Drosophila melanogaster: one gene and its partner. The protein of the gene in region 1 purifies or fractionates together with the protein of each later gene. This does not show direct contact. Each region holds a gene or a part of one and is shown in the gene's direction. Other genes may lie near its edges.

The links.
Region 2: the proteins of conu (region 1) and RhoBTB purify together in Drosophila melanogaster (affinity purification with western blotting, with the first as the bait; one study listed by BioGRID). This does not show direct contact.

Annotation. Positions count from the first base shown.
Region 1 is NT_033778.4:4,742,524-4,747,404, forward strand, and holds the start of conu (conundrum), read left to right. Parts: upstream 1-1,824; 5' UTR 1,825-1,878; intron 1,879-1,881; exon of another isoform or gene 1,882-2,114; intron 2,115-2,132; exon of another isoform or gene 2,133-2,371; intron 2,372-4,881. UniProt on the Drosophila melanogaster protein: GTPase-activating protein (GAP) for Rho1; functions with the ERM protein Moe to regulate Rho1 and control proliferation in the developing epithelium. Recruited by Moe to the cell cortex where it negatively regulates Rho1 activity.
Region 2 is NT_037436.4:20,374,649-20,382,539, forward strand, and holds RhoBTB (Rho-related BTB domain containing), read left to right. Parts: upstream 1-1,593; 5' UTR 1,594-1,953; intron 1,954-3,093; exon of another isoform or gene 3,094-3,191; intron 3,192-3,782; 5' UTR 3,783-3,811; coding exon 3,812-4,000; intron 4,001-4,063; coding exon 4,064-4,167; intron 4,168-4,233; coding exon 4,234-4,431; intron 4,432-4,663; coding exon 4,664-5,200; intron 5,201-5,262; coding exon 5,263-5,521; intron 5,522-5,586; coding exon 5,587-5,700; intron 5,701-5,764; coding exon 5,765-5,851; intron 5,852-5,921; coding exon 5,922-6,005; intron 6,006-6,066; coding exon 6,067-6,309; intron 6,310-6,373; coding exon 6,374-6,644; intron 6,645-6,898; coding exon 6,899-7,050; coding exon of another isoform or gene 7,051-7,073; intron 7,074-7,143; coding exon of another isoform or gene 7,144-7,234; 3' UTR 7,235-7,750; downstream 7,751-7,891. Other genes in the region: Ide (insulin degrading metalloproteinase), read right to left, coding at 1-195, 251-521, 579-713, 772-839; CG5498 (uncharacterized protein), read right to left, coding at 7,847-7,891.

The DNA of each region.
Region 1 (4,881 bases):
CGGCTTTTTTGCGCTTTGGAGATTCATCTTATATCTAAAGACCATTAAACTGTGAATTAAGCACGGAAAGAAGATCATCGACTCGGCGAAAACTATCTCTAGCTACGCCAAAACTGTTGATAAGTTCTTTCCAAGCCACATTTAGTTTGGCGCATAAACAATTTCATCTCGTTCGCAACCACAAGGCAAGCATCACAACAGTAATTTTAATTTTTACCCTTCGCTAGGTCATCGCTTGTTCGGCCATTAAAACCAGCGCACTTAGTATGCACCATTCTATCACATAGCCAACAAAACAATTTTTGGTGCTCAGGTTTTATAACCTGGCAACAATTTTTATAAAAGCAGACAACATTTACGGTTTCCATGTTTATCTAAAATCAGACCACTGTGCACGAAAACACAAGATCAAAACATTCTAGCGAGGTGTTAAAAGAACCGCAAGAGAGCAGTCTGCACGCTGAGAAATTTAGATTTTGTGTGGGCGCATGCAAAAAACCACACCGAACAGCACTGCGAACAACGTACAAAAGGGAGAGTAAACATAACACAAGGACGAAAAATGCAAAATACTTTGTATATTTGTTTAAACTACTGCACAAATCACAAAAGAATCACTCGCGAAGCGAACGGAATCTTTAATAATTATGTTTAAAATATATGATAATTAAAGAAGATTATTAAAAACCACGGCTTGTTTGACAAACACAAAATAAAAATCGGAGCGCAACTAACACGACCGTTCGCTTTGAAAGCTAATTTCAGAGGGACCTTTTCCCAGGGCCCTTTATGTTGGGACCTCTGTAATTTTAAGTCAAAAAAAAAAAAATTAAAAACTTTTTTATAGCTGTACTATGCAATTATCACAAAAACTGTGGATAATTTTTTTTAATTTTCCTGAAATATCCTTTAAGGTTGTCTAGCGTTCATTTTGGAACACCTTTTGAGAATGGCGATATTCCCTAAAAAGTTGGGTGCCTATTTTTAAATTGCATATTGTAATACTTTTTTGGGTCCTTCAAACTTTTGTCGTAAATAGATAGTTAGATCATTCTTTTCATAACATTCTTTTTTTTAAATTCACCTATAAGTAAAGACTAAAAGAACAAGTAAATAAGAACGTTCCCATGTTAAAAATTCTGCCGTTCCGCCAACGCAACTAACTCATCTGCGCTATTTTGACGCAAATTCCTTTACCACCGTATACATTATATGTATTCATGATCTAGTCAGTCCGTGTATACTTCGAGATCTGGGGAAATATAAAAGCTAGAAAAACAACATATTTCAGAAAGTTCTCGCGTCCATTCGAAAGGTCAACTAAAATTAAAAAATTATTAAATTAAATTAAATTATGTTTCGGTTCTTTTTAATTTAATTTCTATTGATATGCTTAAAAAAACTTGTCTAAGCCCGGAAAACTGACAAAGCTGCCATGACCAAACTTTACAATCATTTGGTTTTTAACACCGTTTGTTAGTGATATATTTTCACCGATCTATTTTTTCTATGATCTATTTTGAGACTAACAACTTTACAAACTTGCACTGCTACAAGATTGCGAAATTGTATGGCTAAACTGTCAAACTGTCCTTGGATCCAAGATCAAGATCCAAGATCAAGAACGAAAATTAATTTGCCTTTAATAAATATATAATATATTTAATATATATACATTTCCATCTGAGTAAAAAAAAAATGCAGTATCGTGCATATTTACGCAGAACGTCACAAATCGACTTTGAAAATTGTGTAAGGTTGAAGTTAATATGAATAAATCTCAATTCATTCGATTCATACATCAGCAGTTTACACAAACATCTTGATATTTGCCTTAGTAAATCTTTAGTGTATAGGTGAAATATACTGAATTTCTGTGTAAGTCCATTTAAAAATGCATACATATGTAATGCATGCATACATATATGGAAAAGTAAAATCAGTAAGAAAAGGAGGTACCATCTGCTACCCAGTTGATGATTTTTTGTTGATGAAACTAGTAGTTTTGCACATAAGCTGTGTCTAATTTACTTAACTTTTTATAATTAAAAAAAGTGTTTGTTTATTTTAATATGAAAAAACAACTAGATATGCGTGTTGTCATGGGTTCTTAGGTTCGTACATAGAATGTATGTTAATATGTCCATCCATTAACTTACTTATGTATGTATGTTCCGAGACCTGTAATGTAAATTGATATTTATTTAATATTTATATTGACGTGGACCATTTTATGATTAACTTAGCATCGGCAGTTCAACGTTTTTCATGGAATTCTCATACAGTGGCTCGCAGCTTATTTCTTTCAGTTGAAATCAAATCTAATTTTTTTTACGCACTTGTTTGAGTAAATTAAGGCATACGCAAGAAAGTGAGTATGTGTGCATATTTGTGGAAAAAGACGATTTTCAACCAGGTATCAATTTTCATCTTAAAAATTAATTTATTTAGAGATTAAAGGAATTTTGCATAAATAAGGGCATTCAACTGGGCCAATCAAGTTTTTTATATTGAAATAATCTATTGAAACTCAAACCTGTATAAAAACAGCCCTACCAGCATCAAATTAAAATGAGCACATAAAAATTAAAAGTTCGTAAATAATTCCTATTTTACTATTTTGGCAAAATTTAGCACAATTACTTTATATTTTGTTCTTATTATTTTATTATTACTATTTTCTAAAATATGAATGTCACATTTAGTCAAATTTACAAAGCATGAGCTTATACTACGTCTGCCTGCACACTGCCTACACACTGTAAGCGTTCTTGAGAGGTCCCCATACGGACGTGGAATTTGAGTGGAATATGTTCCGACACGTTATTTCATAACTCCACATAAGTTTCAAAAGTATTCAAGTCTTGTCCTGTAAGAACCCTATGAGGCCTATGGATGCATTCCTTGAAAGGCTTTTATATGTATTTCGAGTATTCGAGAATGTTTACAGACATGCATATGTGGGAATGGTCATCCTAGCTAATATAACGATGACTAGGCGAAGCTAACGACGCGGCGAGCCTTCAAAAGGCAGAGAACGATTTCGGGAGCTAAACGGAAAAATCCATGGAAGGAAAATGTTTTTACGACGACGAAGTAGAAGACGTGCCGGAGAACGACTATCTCGCCAAAACCCCTTAAACAAATATCCAATCAAGGATCAGTAAACACATCACAAAAAAAAAAGAACTCAGTCTCACATAATTTGGGGCTCAACAATTAATATACAACAAAATTAAACCAAAATAACAGAGTGTAAAAAGGTAGTAAAAGTGTTAAAAACAAGAATTAAAATATAATGAAAATAAAGAAAGAAATAAAGTATCGCAAGAGTTAGCAAATCCGGATCCGGAAAACATTGTACTCGATAACAGAAAACGCTTGCGAGAATTTCGAGGCTACGCTTACGACGAGTCAAATCGTCAAATCGACAGAAATTAATTTCTTCGCAGACAAATTATCTGATATGGATCTCGCGATAATTTGCAAAAACTGCAACAGGATAAGACCGACTTGACAAAACACATATATTGCAACAAAGAAACATGTTAGTCGAACCAAATTTGGCGAGGAAATGACTAACACGAAAGCGAAGAGTATGAAACGGACAATGAAATCGGCGAAGAAACTCAGGAAGATACTGACAATATCAAGCTAAAGTTAAGGGACTGCAAAATATATCTCGTCGGGTTTAGTAAATCAGACAAAAATAAGATCAAATCATCAGGATCGTTTGAGCAGAAACTCTCAATAGGCAGAATATGCCGAATTTTTAAAAAATTTTCTCGTATTAGAATCGCACCTCCTCGACTAATAAATGGTGTTTGATAAAGAGTTTTGCAAACAAGCTCAAGTTACAGTAAACAGTGAAGAAGTGAAAATTACAAAACCTATCACATCAGAAGGTGATATAAGTTCAAATCTCAAAATTTATATCGAAGATATAAATACATACGGTATGCCGAAATACATACGGTCCTGCAGATTTTCTTATGCCGAACGTTACATTTTTGACAATAAAACCGAACAATGGCTTGAAGACGGCATCATGGAAACATCCGAGTAGAGCCGTTAATATACATCGTTAGTCACTCACAACTGACAATTTCAATTTCTGAGAATACCTTTTCGGTCTTTCAAATTCGCCAAGTGTGATCCAACTTCATGTAAACGCTATCTTCAGGGATTTAACCACAAAGGAGTAGCTATACATTACGTGAAACTTCATCCACTCAGCAAAGATAAGCAACCGCTTCAAACCTACCATATAAATTTCCTTGGACTTCTAGAGTCAACGCAAAAGCAGTATAAACAGTTTTACCAGAAATCGACAGTTTCACAAAATTCTGCTGGCTCTATCTAAATCCAAACACCCAAATCAACATCTTATATTTTGCAAGACTTCAAGATCAAAGCAACATTTTTGGAAATAGAGAGGTTGAGAGGGTGAACTCAAAAGCTTCAGTTTTTTCAAAACTTGCAATTGACGACCCACTACATTGGCATAAATTGTCAGTGGCGTACCAGAAGTCATCAACTCAATGTTTGTTTGAAGCAAAAAAAGGGCAGGAAGATGAGCCTAAAATTGAATATAAGGATTCAGCAGATGCTAGAGGATAAAATGATAGAATTCAAGCAAAGAGACGTTTTCTCCAGATTCAAAACGAGAAGAAAAAGAGATACAATCTACGACGAGGACCATCCTAAAAGTACAAAGTCGGCGACATAGTTGCTATTAAAAGATCTCAGTTTTCATAAATTTAAAACTGAAACAATAGCCAATCTAAATAATTAAGGATCAGCAAGCACATCATAATCAGGCATGCTCTGCTTATCTTAATTTTTTTTTCGATTTCGATTTTATTTTCAATGTTCCGATGT
Region 2 (7,891 bases), on another chromosome or scaffold:
GGAGTACCACTGCTTGTGAAACTTTAGCAGCTCATCCCGCACATCAATGTTCTTGGACTTGGGTATTTCGGATAGGGTGGTCTTGTTGCCGCTGCCGAACTTGCTGTAGGCATGGTCAGGCTTTGCCAGGTGGCGGTTCACCTGCTTGATGCGCCACAGATCGCTGGGCAGGTTTTTCTCGTGCTCAGAGTTTACCTGCAATGACAGCGTCCTATTTCTGTCAGAAATTTTAATGAATGCTTTCACATACCGCATTGATTTCCCGCTCAGTTGCACTGGGCGTGAACAAGGGGGCTATGAAGAACTGCGCGAAGCGATCTAAGGCTCCATCTAACTTGTCCGGCGCCACGTGAAAGTGGTACTTGGTCATCAGGGGATAGGTGGCGGCGTTGCTGCTTCCGCCGCTCTGCGAAAGGTATGTGGTGTAGCCATTCTCATGCGGATACTTCTCGGTGCCGAGGAACAGCATGTGCTCGCAAAAGTGGGCCAATCCAGGCAGGTTCGTGGGATCAGACATGTGGCTGCCATGGGTATACTCATTAAAAACAAACATTGAGTGAAGATTTGATCTTATTTACCCCACTTGCACGGACAGCGCTGCCGCCGAGACATCTGTGTTGGGATCGCTGATGAGCAGGACCTTTAGTCCATTTTCTAGTTGCAATCCGCGGTAGTCGCGTGTGTCCTGCAGCGACTTTTCAATGTTGTTCAGCCTATAAACGACGAACCATTGCCTTTCGACGACCTCTAAGATGCGTAACGTGCACTTACCTCAATATGGGCTCCATGCTGTCTGGCTTCCTAGTTGCGGACTTTTGCGAGCTTTCGGCTATTGTCATCTTGGGTTTTATAAGCGTGCCAATCGTTCGATGTGTTACTGAAATGCTGGCCCTCAACGCACTTGACCTGTGCGAAATAAATGCGATTTAGTGGTGCCCGTTAGCGGAAATTTGTTTAATTGCTGCCAACCGTCGACCAAAAACCGCTGTTAAGGCAAAAATCGATTTTCTGCACGTAAGATACATTGAGTTTGTGAAATACTCTTGACGACGCTACTCCGGCTTTACGTAGCGCGCACAAGAAATCTTAGAGTGGGAGGAGTAGATTTCCAAGCCGGTCGGTTACACGTTCAATCAATTTTAATCGCTTTTTGGACCGAAAAATAAATTCTAACTAGTTTCGCAACAACTAAAATAGCAAACAATCATCTGTTCGCAGAGCTGCCAACTCACCGCGCACGCAGAACTAGTTTAATATGTTGCCAGATCGTTTATTTTGTGAGTGGTTCCAGATTTGAAATTCCCAATTGGAGAAATTTTACAAAGTGGTAGGCCATATTTTCAAATACGAAAGACTTAATAAGTTTAAAGTGATGATTTTTAATAGTTCTAATGTAACTTTGGACTAAAGTAAGCTGCATATTCACCTTACCTAGGATAGATGGCGATTTCAAAATGTATTTCAAATGCTTGAAATTTTTCCAACGACCATACAATAAATATTGGGCAACCCTGATAACAGTCATTATAAAAATAAATATTCCGTGAATTCCCGTTCTCCGTCAATCTGGCAGTGCTCCGCGCCCAACCGCCGCCGTTTTCCAACACTGGCCGGTTGCCGTCAAAGCGCGTAGAAGAATTGCGGGCTGTAACTGCAATTTATTATTTTTTAATTTCATTTATAGTGCACCTGGTCAGCGAGCACTGGCTCATCCGCAGCCATCCGTCGGCAACCAGCTCGCAGCGATGTTAAACTTGTGCCAGCCGTAAAGATTTCGCGTGTTTGCGAACCACAAACTGCGTCGCCATCGGTGTGTGGGTGCAGAAATAAATGCAAATTGTTGTAAAATGCCGTGCTTTGGTGTGCGTGTTGATAAGTGCAATACGCAAAAGTAAGAACATTGAGGCAAATCCGTGCAATTCGTGCAATCCGTGGGATCAGGCGTTTTCAGAGGTGAGTGCTGCAGTGCTACGTCCGCGGAGATTTATGAGTTCGGGAATTCTGTGCTCTCCCCTTCGGCCAGCAGTCGAAGAATTAGGTTCTAATCAGGTTTTAATTGTTTACCCACCAACATGCGTTTTCCTCGAGAAAAAGTGCAAGTGTTCAACGATTTTTCTCCCCTAAATGGGTCAAGTTTGCCGGAATGTCGAGTCCGAACTTCAAGATCCCCTCCTAAAAGTCCCTTCTGTGCCTCCTTGTGTGCGAGTCTGAATGTGTGTGTGGTTTGGTAACGGTATTTGTGGCCGTTTTGCAATGGCACGAGAAAATCAATAAGCTGGCAAAATTGAAGAAAGGAGACTTCCCAGACATGGCAAAACAGCGCAGAGTTTGTTAATAATGCTAATATGCTGGCGTGTTCTGCGAATTCTCGCGAATCAAAATGTCTAATTAAACCACAGGTTCACACCTCGCATGAGAAATAAATTGGAACCAGTCCCTAAATAAACTTTGTTTTTATTTCCCAAGATTATGGTTGGTGCAAATATTTTACAATGAAAACTAAGAACATACCTTTTAAAAACTAAAAAATACGATCTTTCCATTTTCAAAATACCTGATATCTTCAAAAACTAACAGTTGTTTACCTTCACAACGTCTTCTTTCTTTGTTTCTTTGTTTTTGCTTCACTTTGCTTAAGACTGGGCACTTAAATAATATATTTTAAAAATATTTCTACAAGGAAATAATAAAAATAAAAACGGTATTTTATAGTAGTTATATCAGACATTAATTTTTCAATATTTGAAGAATATTCTTCCCTCTTTAACCTTCATAAAGTCAATTCAAATGGCTCTAAATAGATTGAACACATAAATTATAGAAAATCAAAGCAAAAGTGGAACCGATTGCCATGTATTCCAGAGGTCAACGATCCACAATATTGACAGTAACTTAAAGTCTTCGCACGAACAAAAGACTTTCCTGTGGAGAACAACGATCGCTTCTGGCGACCACTTGAAGTACTTTCAATTGCATGGTTATTGTTTTGGGTTTAAAGCGCGTCCCAAAATAGACAGACTGCAGCTCGTCGAGAAGATCGGACAATGGATTGCCATGAAGCGTGGGCCACGCAGGAAGAAGTGTGCTCATTGCGACCGGAGGATTGAAGGCAGATATATTTTTAGTGCAGCCCAATTAAGTTCAATTAGAGGTTCAAAGAGAGAGAGCGAGCTTATCGCTCCGTATCCGAGGTACTTACTCCAACTTCCTCCGCGACAAGTGGATCAAGTGGGGGTCAATGAATTGGCTGGTTTTATAGCCTCCGTTTGCGGGATCCAATAGATTTCTAAGTAAATGATACGAAGCTGGTATCTGATTTCACTATAGTTATTTTCACAGTGCGCAGCGAGTAAACAAACAAAATTGCCTATTGGCGTAGATCAGTTATTCTGGCTTTACGTATAACTGAACGTAGAAGTGAATTTTCCCAGTGCGTAGATTATTTCAAACTATGTATTTCTATTTTGGGAAGCACTTAGGTATCTAGATTAAAATCAAATTAATCACGTGATGAAACCATTTTGCCTTCACACAAAACGTTAATGCAGACGACACTTTGTGTAACTTAGTAATTAGCAGGTCGATTGTTAGTCGAGAATTTAGCATCTGCTTATCAGAACTGAAAAACATTAAGGCAGCTATTCTACGTAGTTCACTTATTTATATTAGAAGGGGTGTCAGCAGTTTATTTTATTTTCAATATTTTCATTTATGTATGTTTTCCTCAGGAGAGACCACATTTTATTAAATCACACAAAAATCCAATACTATTTTCATTTCAGATTCCATAAGCTGGTTCTGCTATTTGTGCATGCCCAAAATGGACAACGAGCAGCCGCATCAAGAGCTAGTGAAGTGCGTCCTGGTGGGGGACACGGCCGTGGGCAAGACGCGACTGATCTGCGCGAGGGCCTGCAACAAACACGTCTCGCTATCTCAGCTCCTCTCTACGCACGTGCCGACCGTGTGGGCCATTGACCAGTATCGCATATATAAGGATGTGGGTTACCATTCTCTCAAGAGTCATAGTTATTGCATTTAACCGAATCCATATACATTAAAGGTACTCGAGCGATCATGGGAGGTGGTCGATGGAGTGAATGTCTCACTTCGCCTATGGGACACATTTGGTGACCACGACAAGGATCGGCGCTTCGCATACGGCAGGTGTGTAGAGCTCATGTAGCAGCATTTTCGCCATACGAATCAATAAGATGCCTTCTTGACCTACAGATCCGATGTGGTGCTGCTGTGCTTTTCCATTGCCAGTCCGATTTCCCTGCGCAACTGCAAGATGATGTGGTATCCGGAAATTCGCCGCTTTTGTCCGGATGTTCCCGTCATTCTAGTTGGCTGCAAGAACGACCTGCGCTACATGTATCGCGACGAGAACTATCTCTCGTATTTCGGCGAGAAGGGAACCTTTGTTCGGTATGCATAGCTAGCAGGTTTCAGCCGGTTTTGAGTGGCTTTCACTTTTTAATGTTGTTCTTTAATCAAATCAATTCAATTATTCACCATAATTTAATTATATTTAGAACACACGAAAGATATAATTCAATGTTTAGCCCACTATAGCAAATTAATCTGTTTATATGTTCAGAGATATTCTATTTAATTGGATTAAATTAAAGGCAATCATTACTATAATCTTTTTTTAAAGAGCCGCGTTGAAGAGTGACCTGGTTATGCCGGATGAGGCGCGTGCCGTCGCCAAAGAGCTAGGAGTGGCGTACTACGAGACCAGTGTTTTCACATACTTTGGGGTGAACGAGGTGTTTGAAAACGCCATCCGATCCGCGTTGATTGCACGCCGACAGCAGCGCTTCTGGATGACAAACCTGAAGAAGGTGCAGAAGCCCCTGCTGCAGGCGCCGTTCCGGCCACCGAAGCCACCACCACCGGAGGTCACCGTCATGGTCGGCAACTATCGGCAGGACATCTACAACATGTTCCTGTCGCAGGCCTACACCGACCTCGTCCTGGTCGGGGCGGGTGGCACCAAGTTCGCCGTGCACAGGTTCATGCTAGCCGCCGCGTCCAGCATCTTCCAGCGCCTGCTTAGCACTGAGCTGACTGATATGGGCGGGCGGAGCAGCAGCGAATCTAGCATGGTCAGCTCAACATTCGGGGAGGCCACCATTGCGGACTTTAACGATGACACGGAGGCCCTGATCCGCTACGAATCACGCACACAACGGTGGGTGCTGCCTCCCGATTGCATTGAGCCCATTTGACTTTGAATACATTTTGCACCCACAGAATGTGGGAACACTTGAAGCGCCGCTCCAGCTACCAGGCGTTGCCTCTCATGGAGTCTAAGCGGTCCAACGATTTGTACAGGGAGCTGCATCATCCGGTCCTGCAGAGCATTCGCCTGGTGCACGTGGAAAACCATCGGGGTGTAAATGGTCTGCAGACGATTGTCACCCTTAGCAAACTTATCTCTCCGCAAGCTCTGCACCAGTGCCTGAGATTTATTTATACCGGTACCATTGACAAGGATTGCGATAATATCGAGGTAGGAAATGTTTCAATGTATTCTGTGTTAAGTTTGACCTACTAATATATTGTTAATTCTCACAGGAAATTCGAGAAGCTGCCGATCTATTAGAACTGCCGCAACTGACTCAGCTACTTTCCAGGCCTCAAACCGTTATGGAGAACTCCAGCGATGAGCCAAATCCGCACATTTGCCTGGTGAGCGCATTGATGTCATGATATCTATTTTATGATCCTAACCATTTTCTGTTACATACATTAGCGCATCAAAGAAAGCATGGAACGGCATTGCATTGGTGACGGGTGCTTCAGTGATGTCACCTTTGAATTGGACGATGGCTTAATGAAGGTACATACATATGTCTGTTGAATTACTATATGAAGCACAATCGTTTACACTTACCTTTGCTGCATTGCAGGCACACCGCGCTGTGTTGGTTGGTCGTTGTGATGTCATGCGCGCAATGTTGTTAGGCGACTTTCGCGAGGCTCATTCCAATGTGGTAGGAACGGGCACAATACCCCTTAACTAAGGACAGTTGTCATAAATTTCCTTTACCTTAGATCGTATTCCCTGGCGTTACCATTTACACATTCCACAAGCTGCTGTGCTATTTGTACACAGACCAGATTCCGCCAATCTCGGCCGTCAAGTGCCTCAATCTGCTGGAGCTGGCCAATAGACTCTGCCTGCCGCGGCTGCTCAACCTGGTTGAATGCCGCGTTATTGAAGATCTCACTCTGATTTCTCAGAACGAAACCAATGAAACGGTGGATCACTGTCTAAAGCTGCTCGAGCCAGTGAAGGTACACATAGAGAGATCAGTTAAAAATGATATACCGAAATTCAATACTTTTCTTTTTTTTTCAGCTGCACAACGCACATCAATTGGCCGAGTGGTGCATGTCATACCTGTGCGTCAATTACAACCTTATTTGTAAGTTTTCACTCAAGGGCCTAAAGGCGCTACACCAGGATAATCAGGAGTACTTGCGCGAGCACCGATGGCCTCCAGTCTGGTATCTGAAAGACTATGATTACTATCAGCGATGCCTGAACGAGCTGAACAAGGAGCTTAAGCTAAAGACTTCGAGGCGGGAATCGCCTAGCGATGACGAGGGCTGTCTGTGCTTTACGGGCGGTAAGTGTTGCTACATTTACGGAACTATCTGCTCCACATCCCACCACACTTAACATCCCAGTCCAATACTCCAGTCGGAGGATCAGCTCAGGTTTTAGTTTCAGCTAGCTTTAGAGGACAATGTATGTATCATGACGGCGGTTTGTATTCGTAGCTAGGTGTCTCGTTATTGTTTTCCTTTCCTGTTGATTTCCTTGCTCATTTACAACGACAACGCCATCATCATAATATTAATGTCCGAAATTTGGTCAAAGTATTCTCTTGCTGGCTGTTAGGTAAATCGAAGCGAAGCGCTGATGTGAGTGGAACCACGGATAACAGCAACGCAGATAATCAGATCTTCAACAGCGCCGGCAACTCGCTCAACCACATTGATCTGGAGGCGGACATGGACCTGAATCTCTGACACCCAGCCCTAGGGCAAGGAAGGTGTGTTGATATTAATGTCAAAGTAAGGATTCTTCGATATTTATGATTTACTTCGATACTTTGATTCCAGATCACTGCGCTTCATTGTGATCCTGCCGGTCCTGATCTGTTTTATCTGTACGATTTTAAGTATTTTGATACTTTTCCAAATCCATACATAACAAACCTCAAGGGCACGATTTAGAGTGGTCGGGGAGATAAGGGTTGGAAATGGAGGGGGCGTGGCGCGTCTGCTTTTGACATTACGCAATATATAGAGCGCAAATTTGCCTTAGTGATTAACGATTAATAAGTCCAACGTAGCTCGACCCAGAACAAGGGAGCATACTGCAGAGTGCTTCGGATTTCTTATATTTATACGCCTATATAAAACGCAAAGCATAGACGAGTATGTATGCACATGCACCTCGGCGCTGCGAAGCATTTCGCTGTATTGCCTTACGATATATCGGTGTACACTCAACTTGTTCTGCACGATCCCTCCCATGGAATGTGGACAGCCGAAGGACGCAGACATGTGTATATCCATATATTTGTACCTTTACCTAAGACATGTATGTATGTATATTTTTGAATTCCTACTTACGGAAACATTTGTCTAGCCATAGCTCTAAGCAATTCTCTACGATAAGGACGCATTTTGTACAGAATGATAGAATAAAAAAGCAATTACGAACAAATCTCACGTTTCTTCCTTGTAATAAAAACGCATTTTACAATGTAATAAATTTAGAATTATAACAGTTCACATGCCATTTAAAAAAACACAACATTTATATCGCAGTTTTCACGGATTTTACACTGGATTGCGATACAGT